Linked DNA regions of Caenorhabditis elegans. The protein of the gene in region 1 purifies or fractionates together with the protein of each later gene. This does not show direct contact. Each region holds a gene or a part of one and is shown in the gene's direction. Other genes may lie near its edges.

Region 1 (5,517 bases):
ACTTATAAAAGAGTGTGATCAGTCACAGCAAAAAAAAAAAACGTTAGAAGATGTTGTGGTCAACTTGATTGTTTATCTCACTTCGGTTCAATCAGTTCGGAACGGACTACGATGTTAGCCATCGAAGGGAAAGTCGAAGAAGATGAAGAAGAAAGAGAGGCGAACGGCGTATTTGTTTGTGCACTACTTGTGGCATTGTATGTAACACCCAGTACAAACATAAGTTCTAAAAGGATCGAGACTCTGCGACTCTTTACGTTTTGGAAACATTTCATCTTGATTTGTTGAAAAGTTTGGTGACGTAAAGGATGGGTTTTTGTTCAACTTTTGAGCCTCCAATAGTATTTATTATTGAGTTTTAAATTTGTAGCACAAATAGAAAATTGTTTCCAAATAAATTTATTTTTTGAGATTTTTGAGGAAGTTCAACACTTGTACATTCAAATGTTGAACGGTGCGTTCAACTTCTACAGCCCAACCTTCTGTTTTAAGTTGCACTTCTTTTTGATAATTGTTTTTTTTTCAGAAAACTGTTGATACCATTCAAATAAGCCGTTCCAAAAACTTTATCAATAAGTATCAAAAAAGTTAGGTGTAATAAACCATTGTGTAACTTTTATAGACCTCTGTATATTTTTTATATTTCAAAAAAAACCGAATGTTATGAAATTTCTCAAAAGAATACAAATTTTATTTTGAAATTAAAATTATTTTAAAAATTAACAAATATCAAATTTCATAAAACAAATTTTGTGAAAACTTTAGGGATCCCCAGAGCGTCCTGAAATTCTTTAGAGACCAGTTATTGGCTTCCGATTTTTTTGTGAGTACTGAACTTGACCGATCTGATTCATTTTATTTACTGATGATGCCGGGAATAAAACAATTCATGGCGAGCCATATTAAAATTCAAATTAAGATAATTAAGCTTTTAGTTAGGAAAGTACATATCTCAAGACAGTCGTTCCAGTTATGTTTAATCAACTTCATTATCAAGCGCAATTACCTTTATAACACGTATTGTTTCCAATTTGATTATATTGTCAACAGCTTTTATTTTTGGTCTGTGAAAATGTTAATTTCTTTGAAAAACTTAAAAACAAATTTTCAAAAAACATAACAATTTAGTTTGAAAAATATTTTTATTGCAGTTGTCTCAATCTATTTTAATCAATTTGTACAATGTAATTTATTGTGAAAAGCACTTTTTCAATTATTCCACAGCTAGGGTTTCCAGTAGTAGATGATAGCTTTCAACTCTTCCCAGATTCCGAGTGTTACAATCCTGCGGTCGGATCAGTCCATCTTTTTTCTTATCTCTGAACTGATCATAATAAGTTATTGGGAAGAACGACGGAGTAGTGGGGGAAAATAGAGGAAAAGAAGGTGGAGGCATCAGTCGCACCACACATACACGAACAATTGGTTGACCTTCTAGACACACGATTTCGTGTTCCTATCTTCTCTCGCACCTCAAGTCGACGTCTCCTTCTGATTCGGTTGCAATTGTATTAAACTGTCACTCCCCCCCCCCCCTTTACTTTTCCTCTAGTTTTCCTTTCTATTTCTCGTTTCCTCTCGTTTATATACAAAAACTGACCTTTTACATCCGTGGCGGGGGCGAACGATCGAGAAAGAAGAAGCATCGGGAGAACTTTTGTTGTTGTTTCGATCTTAGTTGTTTCGTTTTATTTATTTTTTCTTGCTGCCTTATTCCATTTTACTGAAATTGAAATGGTGTCTGTCCATCATGTTTTATTTGCCGGATGTGAGGGATGGAAACGCCTCCGATCTTCATGTCCTCCCAACTATTCTCTCGCGTTTTTTTGCCTTTTTTCCATCTTGTAACACATTATTATTGGTTTCCTATTGCCTTCGTTCTTTCGTTCCTTGCACGATTCACCTTGTTTCTTGATTTCACATTCTTCATTTTTTGTTACTATTTCAAATTTTTCATTTATTCACATCTAAATACAATTTTTGCAGGCTGGATGGCGTCCAAGAGCATTCATAAGAAGCACCAAGAAAATTCACAGCAAGATAAAAACCAATTCTCAGTGCATCATTATTTAGATCCAAATCAGAGTATTCATGCTTTAATTTCATGCTCAGAAAAAAAGTATGAAAAAAATCAAAATCAAAAGGTTTGTTCAAATTCTAAAAAATAATATAACTATAATAGAACTGAAAAAAATTGAGATCACATTTCATTACACTCAAATTGTTTTTACGGGTCAAATTGTTCGTACGAAACAAGAATTATTATTTGATTGCGTCACACTTGCCTTAATTGACAAAGAAGCTACTTATTTCGCAACACTTTTGTAACAGTTTGATTTTACAGTTGATAATGGGGTATATCGCAAAACAAGGATAATAATTAATTTGGTTTAATGGATATGCAAAAAGTTGTTTTTTTTTTGAAAATCACATGCCTCGTTTCAACTTTCAGAAAAATCCACTACCTTCATCATATTACCATCAGAAGCGGAATCCGGGAAGCAGTGCACATTCCCCTTATGTAAGTTTAAATTTTTGAAGAATAACACACCGGGTGAAATTTCAGGGATCAGTAGATGAAAGTAGTCGAACAGCCGTCAGCCCAGCTATGGATATGGTATCAAACCAAGCACCGATTCACACACGACAAGTCAGTGCACCGAACCTTCATACGAGTGTTAATAATGGGTAAACGATTTATTTTGAGACAATTCAAATCACAAATATTTGTAGCCAATCTTCCGCAACAGTACCACATCCATCTCATCACAATGTCCACCATCAACACTCAAAAGTGAGAAAAACTATGATTGTTGATTAAACTAAAAAAGAGTTTTACAGAGTGTTTCTGCATTACCAATGACTATTGGCTACTCTCCAGTACCTTCTCACGTAAAATCAGTATCTCATGAAGCAAATTACTCATATGCAGGACTCTCGGAGTATGCCATAGAATATTTCTGTTTCATTTCTAATATCAACTTCAGAATACCACAACAACAAGGAATGATGCAACAAAATCGGGAAAAGAGCTTATCGCTAGACCCAATGAGAAGGCCATTTATGACACCACAGGATGTTGAGCAGTTACCCATGCCCCAAGGATGGGAAATGTGTTACGACAGTGATGGAGTTCGGTACTTTAAGGATCATAACTCAAAAACAACAACGTGGGATGATCCTAGGCTAAAACGTAAGTTTTATTTATAACATACGATGAAACAAAAAAAGTTTGCAAAATATTTATAAAATATTTTGAAAATCTCTATTTTCATCGAACATTTTACTGAGTCTTATTCATATATAGCTCTGTTTTTTCTGACAATACTAGAAAACATTTCTACACGTTTTCACTGATTGTTATACCCTGTTTTTCTTCAGAAAAATTAGTATAAATAACTAAGGTTACAATCTGTTCACATTAAATATTAATTTATTTCAACTTTCAGAACAAGAACAAACTGGTTTTGGATTAGGAGAAAACATTGGCCAAAACCGATATAATAATTGTTACGACAATGGACACTCGTCTCGATCATTGCCCTCAATTCATCAGCACCAGCAGATGATTCCCAATCATCCACAACCACAATACTCTTCTCAGCAGCAAATGGATTATATTCAGCAGTTACAAAACGAACGAATGATGATTCAAGAGAAGAACGCGCAGCTGATCAATTCTGGACTTGTCGACAGTCCGCAACCACCATATCAAGCAATTTCCCCCATGTCATCAACTATGATGGTATTTGTTCTTAAGATACTAAAACAAATTTAATTGAGTATAACCAATTACAGCATTCTCATGATCCAAATTTCATGTACCAACAACAACAACAGGCTCAAAACTCTCAACAACAACAGACACCGCATACATTGCACCAGATCCCAAATCAATACCAAAATGTAAGATATTTATTATGATGTAAAATGAGAAATTCGTAATTGTCCAATCTTATGACATTTGTAAGCTGAAAAATTTTGAAGTCTCTCTAAAACGTGCCTTAAATTCAAAAAAAAAAAAGCCATTATTTGTTGATAATGCTTTAACCAAGACTATCTAATAATATCTAATAATTAAAGGAACGGCTGAAGTTACAGCTCAAATTGATATTAATAATTACTTAAGTTTATCTTTGAGAACAAATCAAAAACATATTTTTCAGAGTCAAATGAACGACGACAGTGCGATGGAAGTCGATTATTCCATGGTATCACACCCCCAGCAACTACAACATCAGCATCAACCACATATGCATAATAATATGCCTAGCAATTATGTAATCGATGTTTGTTTTTTTTTCATTATACTCAATTATTTAGACTAATTTCAGGATATCAATCCACACGAATTCGACCAGTATCTACAAATTAGCAACGATAACAATCGAGGAGTGGGATCAATGGTGCACCATTATCAATAAATGTCTAATCAGCAGAATAACCACTCTCTTTCTCTTTCTCTCTCTCTCTCTCTCTCTCTCTCTCTCTCTCTCTCTCTCTCTCTAAAACGTGCCTGTGTCTAGATTATAGCGACTTGTGATTTGAAATTTGAAACTTGAAGATTCATCAGAAAGTTTTTCAATTGTTTCCTTATTATATGTGATCATGTGCTCAACCCCGTTTCCAATACCTGCATTATCAATGTTTGTCCATACTTTCTTTGAAATTTCCCCTGCAAAAACGTAGTCATTCAGTAGTGAACCTTAACAATTTCCTAATCATAAAAGTTGCCAAAAAGAAATTTATCGATTAAAAAAGTTGACTTTTTGATTTTTTTGACTTACTTTGATTTACTTAATGGATCTGAAAAGAGAATTTTCAACCTTTCTTGAATAAAAACTCCAAATGAATTCAGTTGCTTTACCATATTAGAGTCACCAATTCCTTTCTTCCACAATTAGCTGCAATTTAGTTCAAAATACCTTTGTGATGTGATTTTTCTGTATTTTCCGCTCAAATTTTCTTTTTTTGTTCTACGTCTAATTACACTTAAATAAAATAAGACAAAATGGAAGAGATCATCAAGCATTTTTTTGATATCATGTACGATTGTTGATTTGTGTATTCTGAAACTTTTTAAAATATGCCTAACAGTTTCTGACTTCTGCTATTCAAGGTTCCAAATAAACAATTTATCGATTTCTCAATTTATGCACACGTTGTATATTGTGTTTGGCTACAGAGCGTTCCTCTCCTGACGTCACCACCACGCATCAGTTGGAGTGTGCAAACACGCTCCACTATACCCCTCCCCATTTTATTATTTTACCGATGTCGTTTTTTTTGTTTCATTTCATTTTACGTTCTATTTTTCAATTTATTTGTAATGTAATAATTTAGGAAAAATTTCAGAATAGAAATGTCAGAACGAGCGCTTCGAAGAACAACTTTTAGTGGTAGATTGCTTCGTTTCAAGGAGGAAGAAGAAGAAATTGATAGGAAAACTGCAATTGTGAAGGTATATCAAAATGTTTTGTTAGTATTAATAGAAATTTGTACTGCAGGGAGGAATTT
Region 2 (7,619 bases), on another chromosome or scaffold:
TTATGATTTTGTTTCAAACCTCACATTTATATTTTTAGTTTGAACTTACAACATCTACACCAATTGTTTTAACCCTAAAATCTATATTTTCCCAGACGGAAATAATGTTTAACCTAGAGAAGTGTGCACATGATTGACACGAACATGACTTTTTTACTGTCTTTTTCTTACGTTTCTCCCGTTTTCTTCTCTCCGTCTCTTTCCATTTTCTTATCACTACCATAATTTTGAAAATCCATTTTATCAAACGTGCTCCATTGAATATGAAGGATATGTATGACGTCATCACTTAATATTAGTCACCACTTGATTCTTGACGTCTTCGTCTTATTCTTCTAATGGCATGATGATAGGAAATGGTTTGAAGTACTTCTACTTCTACCTTATTACCAAATTGGATTAGTTACAGTATGAATGGTTTATGTTATCTTGTGTTTTCCTCCTTTACACTTTCAATTAATATGTTTGTTGTTTTCGCTAGAGTATTTTTTGTCTGAAAAAAAAAACAAATGGAGCATCAGCAAAAAGTGAGAAAATAATAGAGTTCGCATCTCGAGACGACAAGACGTCATTTCTTTGACGTGGATTGATTTGAAAATTAGAGAACTAGTGATAAGAGAGAAAGAAGCATCCGACCGCGTGATGACCTGAATTGATGAGAGATAATGGAAAGGTGTCGACGATTGATGAGTCTGGATTTAAATTCTGATCTTTTGTCAATTTAATATTTATTGATAAATTAGCTAGTCTGAAAAAGTGAAGTAAATGTATTTTACTTTACAAAATTTTTTTGCAGTTGTTCCATAACTTGAAAAAATTGATAGGGTTGTATGTATTGCACCAGTAAAAATATATATTTGCAGCAGACTTTTTTGCGGACTGCATAATTTGATAATTTATTTCAGAGCAGAATTAACATAATTATGAGCATGTTGGTTTTCTCTAAAGTAGTCTAGATTTCGGTTTTGGTGAAGAGGTGAAATTGAGTGGAGAAATTGTAAACATCAATTTGGGAATTTACCAAAACTCTTTACCGCGACAAAAAATTCAGAATTTGAATATACCTCCATGGAAGCGATTATATTGTGCAATTATAATTGTGTAATATATCCTCTTTACCTTCTTCATGCTTATCCCCAATTTCCTCCCTCTCTCTTCTCACCTCATTCCGTTGATTAAAGAACCAATTGAACGCCCGCAGGCTTCGTTGTGGGTAATACAGTAATGTGATAGATTGTATGCCTGCCTATGCACATACACAAGTATGTGCTCTACCATTGCATATTCTGAGCTCTCCTCATTTTATACACTCTTCACAAATATCCACTCCATTAGAAAACCATCTGTCCGTTTGTGTCCCCAACCGGGAGCGCGAGGGGTGGATTGACCGTAGAAGGGACTGCCATCTGCATTTCTTCACTTCCCCCCTTTTCTCCAGCATACCATTCCATTATTTCCTCGATTCGTGCCCCGTCTCTATTCTTCTTCGATTTTACCGGTAATTCCTTGTTGTACATATTTGTAGAATGCATTATATACTTTTCCAGACTACCGTATTCCCTCGCGTACCCAGTTCTTATTTCAAAGATTATGAACTCAATGTTTTGTTCAGAGTTGCAACAAGCGCTGCCGCAGGTGATATATTTTAACCTGTTTTCATTCAAATATTCTGATGAAAAGCACGATGTCTTAGTCAGCCGATTCTAGAAGTTTTTATATTCCACGTTGCAGTTTACCTATAGAACGTGACAATATGTCACATGAACAAACTGGTTCTATTGATTTGATAGGAAGTTTGATTTTTTTTTTGAAATAAGGTTTTAGTTGCAAAAACAACTTAAAGTGAAATTTGTATGTATTTAGAAAATAAAAACTTGAAAAATATGTAAATATTTTCTTTGTTTTTGTCAGCACTTAACTGAAAAAAAACCACAAACCGTAAATGAGGTGTCCCATTTGTCCTTGTTCAGATAACTAACCATACTCCTCCAATTACCAATTTATCCGAATTAGCGCCCCACACACTCCTCCACATCCACACTATCTTTCGCTTTTGATTACTTTTTTCGGTAATATCTGTCAAGGTGGCTGGGTTCGTCGTCGTAGTCCTGTACTGTTTCGTCGAGAAGGTCACCATATTGGGGGAAGAAGTAAGAGACTGTCTTTTGGCGCAATATCACTGTTGTGTAGATCGCCTAGTTTCTTGTCTCGAATAACATGAAATGATAGACAGAGTTCCCTATGACACTCTAAGTCTCGAGGTTCTTATCACTTTATCGATTAGTTGAACAGCTGGCTGTCTCCTATCATCATATATCCACCTTGTTTTCTTTCCGCCTTCATGACTCTTTTCTTCCTGAAGCATCCCTTCAAACAATTCTCTATTTTCTCTGTATCCAATGACTCAATATTCTCAAATCTCAACCTAATTTGAATAACTGACAACAGTAAAAAGACCTCCGAATGCAAAAGCAGGAGTAATTAACCTAGGAAGAAGCAACCAGGGATAGTCAATCAAAATGAGATGACATAGATCTCGAGTTGACATGTTTTTTGAACCAATCTCGGAATATTTGCATAATTAGTAGTAGTATTCCCATAAGAGCAGATTTGTAAATATTATAATAAGTTGCTTGCAGATGGTTGGTAGTAAATTTTATTTTACTGCAAGTGAATATTTATTTCCAAATGTGTTAATATTTTTTTAGTTAAAAAATTTTATACATATTTTTGAGAAAGTTGTTTTCGAAGTTTTGATACTGTTTTATTGCAAATAAAAGTCGGAATTGCTCCAAATTTTTAAACAAAACTTTAGTATTTTAAAAAATTTAGAAAAATACCACATGTTTGCTCTTCTACAATATTGAAATACATAATTAAATCATATAATTTGTAGTAAAAATTAATTATTTTTCGGCCGACTTACAAAATTGTGGATTGCAAAAATAGAGAAATCGCCACTTGTTTAAAACGGAGTTTTTAATTAATGTACATTATGTTGATTGATGAGGTTTCAGTGAAATTTTTAAATTAAAAAAAAACACTGATTAATTACTTTACCTATTATGAAATAGAAAACAATATAAAAATGTCAAAGCTCATAATGCACCAAATAATTTTACCAACCTAGACTACCTGCCCAAAATACAGTTTGCCCTCAATTCTTTTTAGGATAATCTCTTTTAGAAGTTAAGTCTACAACATGATTATAACGACTTCACGGTACTGATCACTCTCTTTTCTCTGAATCCATACTTCCAACCCGCCGTTCCTTCTTCATCATTTTCCATTCGTTTTCCTCCGTCTCTTTTATCTTTTTCTCATCTCTTTTCGTTTGTCGATCTGGACGATCCGATGCGTCATCCTTAACGCTTCTCTTATTTCTTTTCTTCATCTCCTTCTTGAAAGTGTCTATCATTTTTTTTCTACTTTATTTCCTGATTCCATCATATCTCCTATGTGTTCATTAAGTATCACTAATTATTCCATTAGTCCCTTTCCCACCTGCCATCCATCTTCGAGGTTTTCCTTGTTTAGTCTGGTTTATTTGTTTAACAAAAAAAAAGCGTGTTGGAAAAATGCGAAACCGTCTGCGTTCGCTAGTTTGAAAAATTTTAACAGAAACTTCCAATGTTGAGTTGGATTTAACAAGTTAGATCTCAAAAATATTTTTCAAAAAATCTAGAAAATTCGGCTTGAAAAAATTGCTTTAAAATCCGGAATAAATGGAAAAATTCCGCCATAATTGTTTTCATCGACAAAGATTGATTTATGGAAATTCAAAATTTGAAAAAATATTTTTTAAACTGTTTTCAAAAGATAACTGAGTAACAATTCTGAAAAATCTTACAAAATTGGTTGCCATGACAACAACCTCTACAAAAAACAAATGACCTCAGCTTCTACATTTCTTCTGCATATTCCAATTATTTATTTTATTTCACATTTGACATGACCGTCTGAAATGAAACAATGAAGACGTTGGTCTTTTCTTTTCTCTTTCTTTTCCCACCCTGAAAACCACGAACATACATTTTTCAGTTCAGACGTTTTTTCTGCAATTGCATTAAGCATTGATGATGATTCAGCATTCACAATCATCGATTTTTCCTCCTTGTTGATTTGATTTTGTCCGTTTTTTTCTGCTCCCACAGAAAAAAAACGCACAACAGTTACCTGTCTTCTTATCAATTTCCTTTTACGTGCCTATTCCTCTTCTCTACCTATCACATGACCAAACTTTCAGTACCCCGGACATAAATGCCACGTCACACTTTAGACATTATCACATTTTTCTCATCTTTTAAGCAAAAGCTCTCAATCTCTAAGGTCTATGCTCTTCAGTTAGAGATCGTAATTTTAGATACCGAACACGGGGTGAAAACCGAAAAACTAAACTCTTTTAGCTCAAGATTTTTTCCATATCTTCTCTTGCCTGCCATTCACTTTTTTGATGGATTACGGTAGATTTCGTTCAACTTTTTTGCATTTCAGATGTCGGAAGACGTAGCAGTCACGGCGCAAACAATTCTCAATGGGTAAGTTGAATTTTGTTGGGCAGGGCGGAGTCAGAAGGTGTCAGAATATGAATAGATGAATAGAACTAAAGTGTCCCATCATTGCAGAACCCCGCCCCATAATCATTTTCGAAAAGAGTGGCTCGCTGGAGCAGCAGGAACGACAACGCCCACGACGACCTCTGGCGGACAAATGATGACGGTTTGTGATAAAACAATTTTTTTTTCGAGTTCTTCCCATTGAGATTTTATTGACTTAAAATCTTTTGATGAAAAAAAAGTTTATCACAATTTTTAAAAGCTAGAAATTTATGCCATTAAAATATGATTTAAAAAAAAATCATAAGTGAAAACTAGAGAACAGTGATTGATTTTGCAAAATATCTGAAATACTTTTCAAAACAAAAACTATTTCAAATCTTATATTTTAGAATTGGAATATACATACAGTATTTCATCTAATTGTCTTGCACCTCATTGCTCAAGTTTGAAGCCTTTTAGCGTTCTTTGAGCTCAAGTTTCAACCCCTTCTGATACCAGCTTCAAATTCCCAATCAGACACTTCTTTATCCTAAAACATGGATTTCAGCTCTCCCCTCCCGCCGGTGACGGACCAGGTTCCGCTGGCTCAATGGCTCCCGAATCGACTTCTTCCCTTTCCGACTTGTCTGGTGACGCGGAAGGTGTGTGGAGTATAGACATTGATCAAGCATTTCAAGAAGCGTTAGCCATCTATCCACCTTGTGGACGAAGGAAAATTATCATCAGTGACGAAGGGAAAATGTATGGTGAGTGAACTGTCTATACATAATTGGAGTCATACAAGTGGTAGAAGAATGAATACATTCACATTACTGTGCATCTGCCTTCATTGAACATCTGCCCATATCCATGGGATAGAAACTTCTTTTCCATTTGACTTTTCTTTCTAATATTTATTATTATTATGATGTAAACGGATTGAACCGGCAGACAGAAACCGACAAAAGAAGAGAGTAGAAGGTACTACGGGATTAGTAGAGACCATCTTTCCATCCTTTCCGTGCCACTTCTCCATATTCCTTGTATTTGTTTATTTTCGCTGCGGGAAACCACGGGCGGCTCTTTCTCTCTCTAAGTCTTGACTTTTTGACCCTCCCGCGCAACCAAAATCAACAAATCGTTAGATTAGATGTTGGAACATAGTTTGTTAGGAAAATGTGATTAGGGGGTTACCGAAGTATCCCAAAGTATCACGTTTTCAGCTGTCGGTTAAAGTATTTAAAATTTAAAATTGAAATTAGATTTCAAATTTTATTTTAAAATAGAAAAACCTCTGGAAATTTTAAAATAAAAACTAAAATTATCAGAATTATAAATATTGAGGAATATCAGAAACGTAGCGTGTCTGTAACTGCTCTCGCTGGACTTTGTGCTCTGCCACGTCATAAAACACGAATACTGTCTGCGCAGTGCCCGGCAGTAACAAACAAAAAGAGTTTGCACATTTGTTTGATTTTCAAAAAAAAAGAAACCTTTTTCCACAATGATGACAACTAAAAGTTACACAGACGCTGTTTTGAGACTACTGTAGAACAGCAATTTTGTTAGACTTCTTAACAATGCCCGTTACTACGGTTATCAGTTTGATCCGCTTTTATTTCGTAAAAATTACCGGAAAACATAATGTTATCAGAGAAAATTCCATAGTCTTTACTCACTTAATTTATGTGATAAATTTGGGTGGGGTGATAATTGATACGCAAATATAATTAAGAGGGTTCAAGTTTTCAATACAGTATTTTTTAAAAATAATCTTGATCTCCCTATTAGTCTAGCCAATTAAATAATAGTCCTATAGAAAAATACAGAATTTAATCTTAAATTTTAACAATTTCCACTTTGATTCGTGAAATCTTTTTTTAACATAGAATCTTTCAAGTCGACGTCACCCTTATTTTAGTTATTCCATCGTCAGACCTGAATTTTTCACCTGTTCGTTACCTGATTATTTCTTCCTCCTCCCACATTCTGATTTCATTATGAGCAACATTCATTTACTTGTTTGAATTTTATATGTATATATATTTTCAGGAAGGAACGAACTAATCGCTAGGTATATCAAATTGCGATGTGGAAAAACGAGGACTCGGAAACAAGTGTCATCACATATTCAAGTACTTGCTAGGAAAAAGCTCAGAGACGAACAAGCAAAAAAGAAGGTACCTTTTCATCTGAATACGGTAGTTTAATTTACTATATGTCTAACTGAAATTCATATTGAAAACTTTTCAGGGTGATATTCCCAGTCTTCTTCAACAAGCTTCACCTCCAGGAGGAGTTAAATCTCCATCAGCTGTAGTATTTCCGCCTGTTTCCGCAGCTGTCGCTGCAATCACTGAAATTTCTCCACAAAGTAGCTACTCATCAATTGTGCCAAAAGTGGAAACCGATCAAATCTCCCAACAACTATTTAAATGTTAGTTTTTTATGCGATACAATTATTGCATCAAACTAATTTTCTCATGTTTCCAGCTCTTCCTTTGTGGTCATTCCAACAAACTCCTGGATTACCTATCGGAATGGATCTATCACAACTTGTTTTCCAACAATCCTCTCCCGACAAAACAGTTTCACCTGTGAAATCAGAAGTTGTAGAAGAAACGAAACCAATCGCTTCTTCACAATTAACACTTCACAGCTTCTCCGCATATGTCAAATGTAATAAGACAAGTTTAAGGACAGAACTCGTGAAGATTGAGAATACACTGGAAAAAGATGATATTGACATTTCTGTATTTTACGAAAAATATCCGAAATTACTTCGAGAATTGTTCGAGAAATCCGAGAAAAAGGATGTCTTCTTCCTTGCAAAGTGTTGGGCAAATATTAATGTTTCGGATGATGTACAGTAAGTTATATTGAATGTGATTGATAATTAGTTTTGACTCAAAGAAAACCTTTTAGAAACTGTCAATACGCAGTCGACTCGTTCTACTCAAGTCGTGAAAAATTCCAATTAAAGGTCTCAACAATGGCTTGCTCATTTGGAAACCAGGCAGTTGAAAAAATAGAGGTACGAATATTATGAGCTAAGCGGCAATGTACAATCGGTTGATTTTT

What was found.
Region 2: the proteins of yap-1 (region 1) and egl-44 purify together in Caenorhabditis elegans (affinity purification with western blotting, with the first as the bait; one study listed by BioGRID). This does not show direct contact.

The regions. Positions count from the first base shown.
Region 1 is NC_003284.9:10,689,957-10,695,473, forward strand, and holds yap-1 (Yes-associated protein homolog 1), read left to right. Parts: upstream 1-1,986; 5' UTR 1,987-1,991; coding exon 1,992-2,144; intron 2,145-2,452; coding exon 2,453-2,521; intron 2,522-2,566; coding exon 2,567-2,688; intron 2,689-2,733; coding exon 2,734-2,794; intron 2,795-2,841; coding exon 2,842-2,942; intron 2,943-2,987; coding exon 2,988-3,193; intron 3,194-3,449; coding exon 3,450-3,745; intron 3,746-3,798; coding exon 3,799-3,906; intron 3,907-4,166; coding exon 4,167-4,289; intron 4,290-4,334; coding exon 4,335-4,424; 3' UTR 4,425-5,017; downstream 5,018-5,517. Other genes in the region: plpp-1.3 (Phosphatidic acid phosphatase type 2/haloperoxidase domain-containing protein), read left to right, coding at 5,363-5,461, 5,508-5,517. UniProt on the Caenorhabditis elegans protein: Plays a role in thermal stress response and in aging.
Region 2 is NC_003280.10:5,931,947-5,939,565, forward strand, and holds the start of egl-44 (TEA domain-containing protein), read left to right. Parts: upstream 1-1,590; coding exon 1,591-1,635; intron 1,636-4,494; coding exon 4,495-4,538; intron 4,539-4,625; coding exon 4,626-4,719; intron 4,720-4,970; exon of another isoform or gene 4,971-4,991; intron 4,992-5,100; exon of another isoform or gene 5,101-5,106; coding exon 5,107-5,305; intron 5,306-6,590; coding exon 6,591-6,739; intron 6,740-6,791; coding exon 6,792-6,975; intron 6,976-7,031; coding exon 7,032-7,407; intron 7,408-7,463; coding exon 7,464-7,572; intron 7,573-7,619. UniProt on the Caenorhabditis elegans protein: Transcription factor. Binds to DNA sequence motif 5'-CATNNNNAAATGCAT-3' as a heterodimer with egl-46.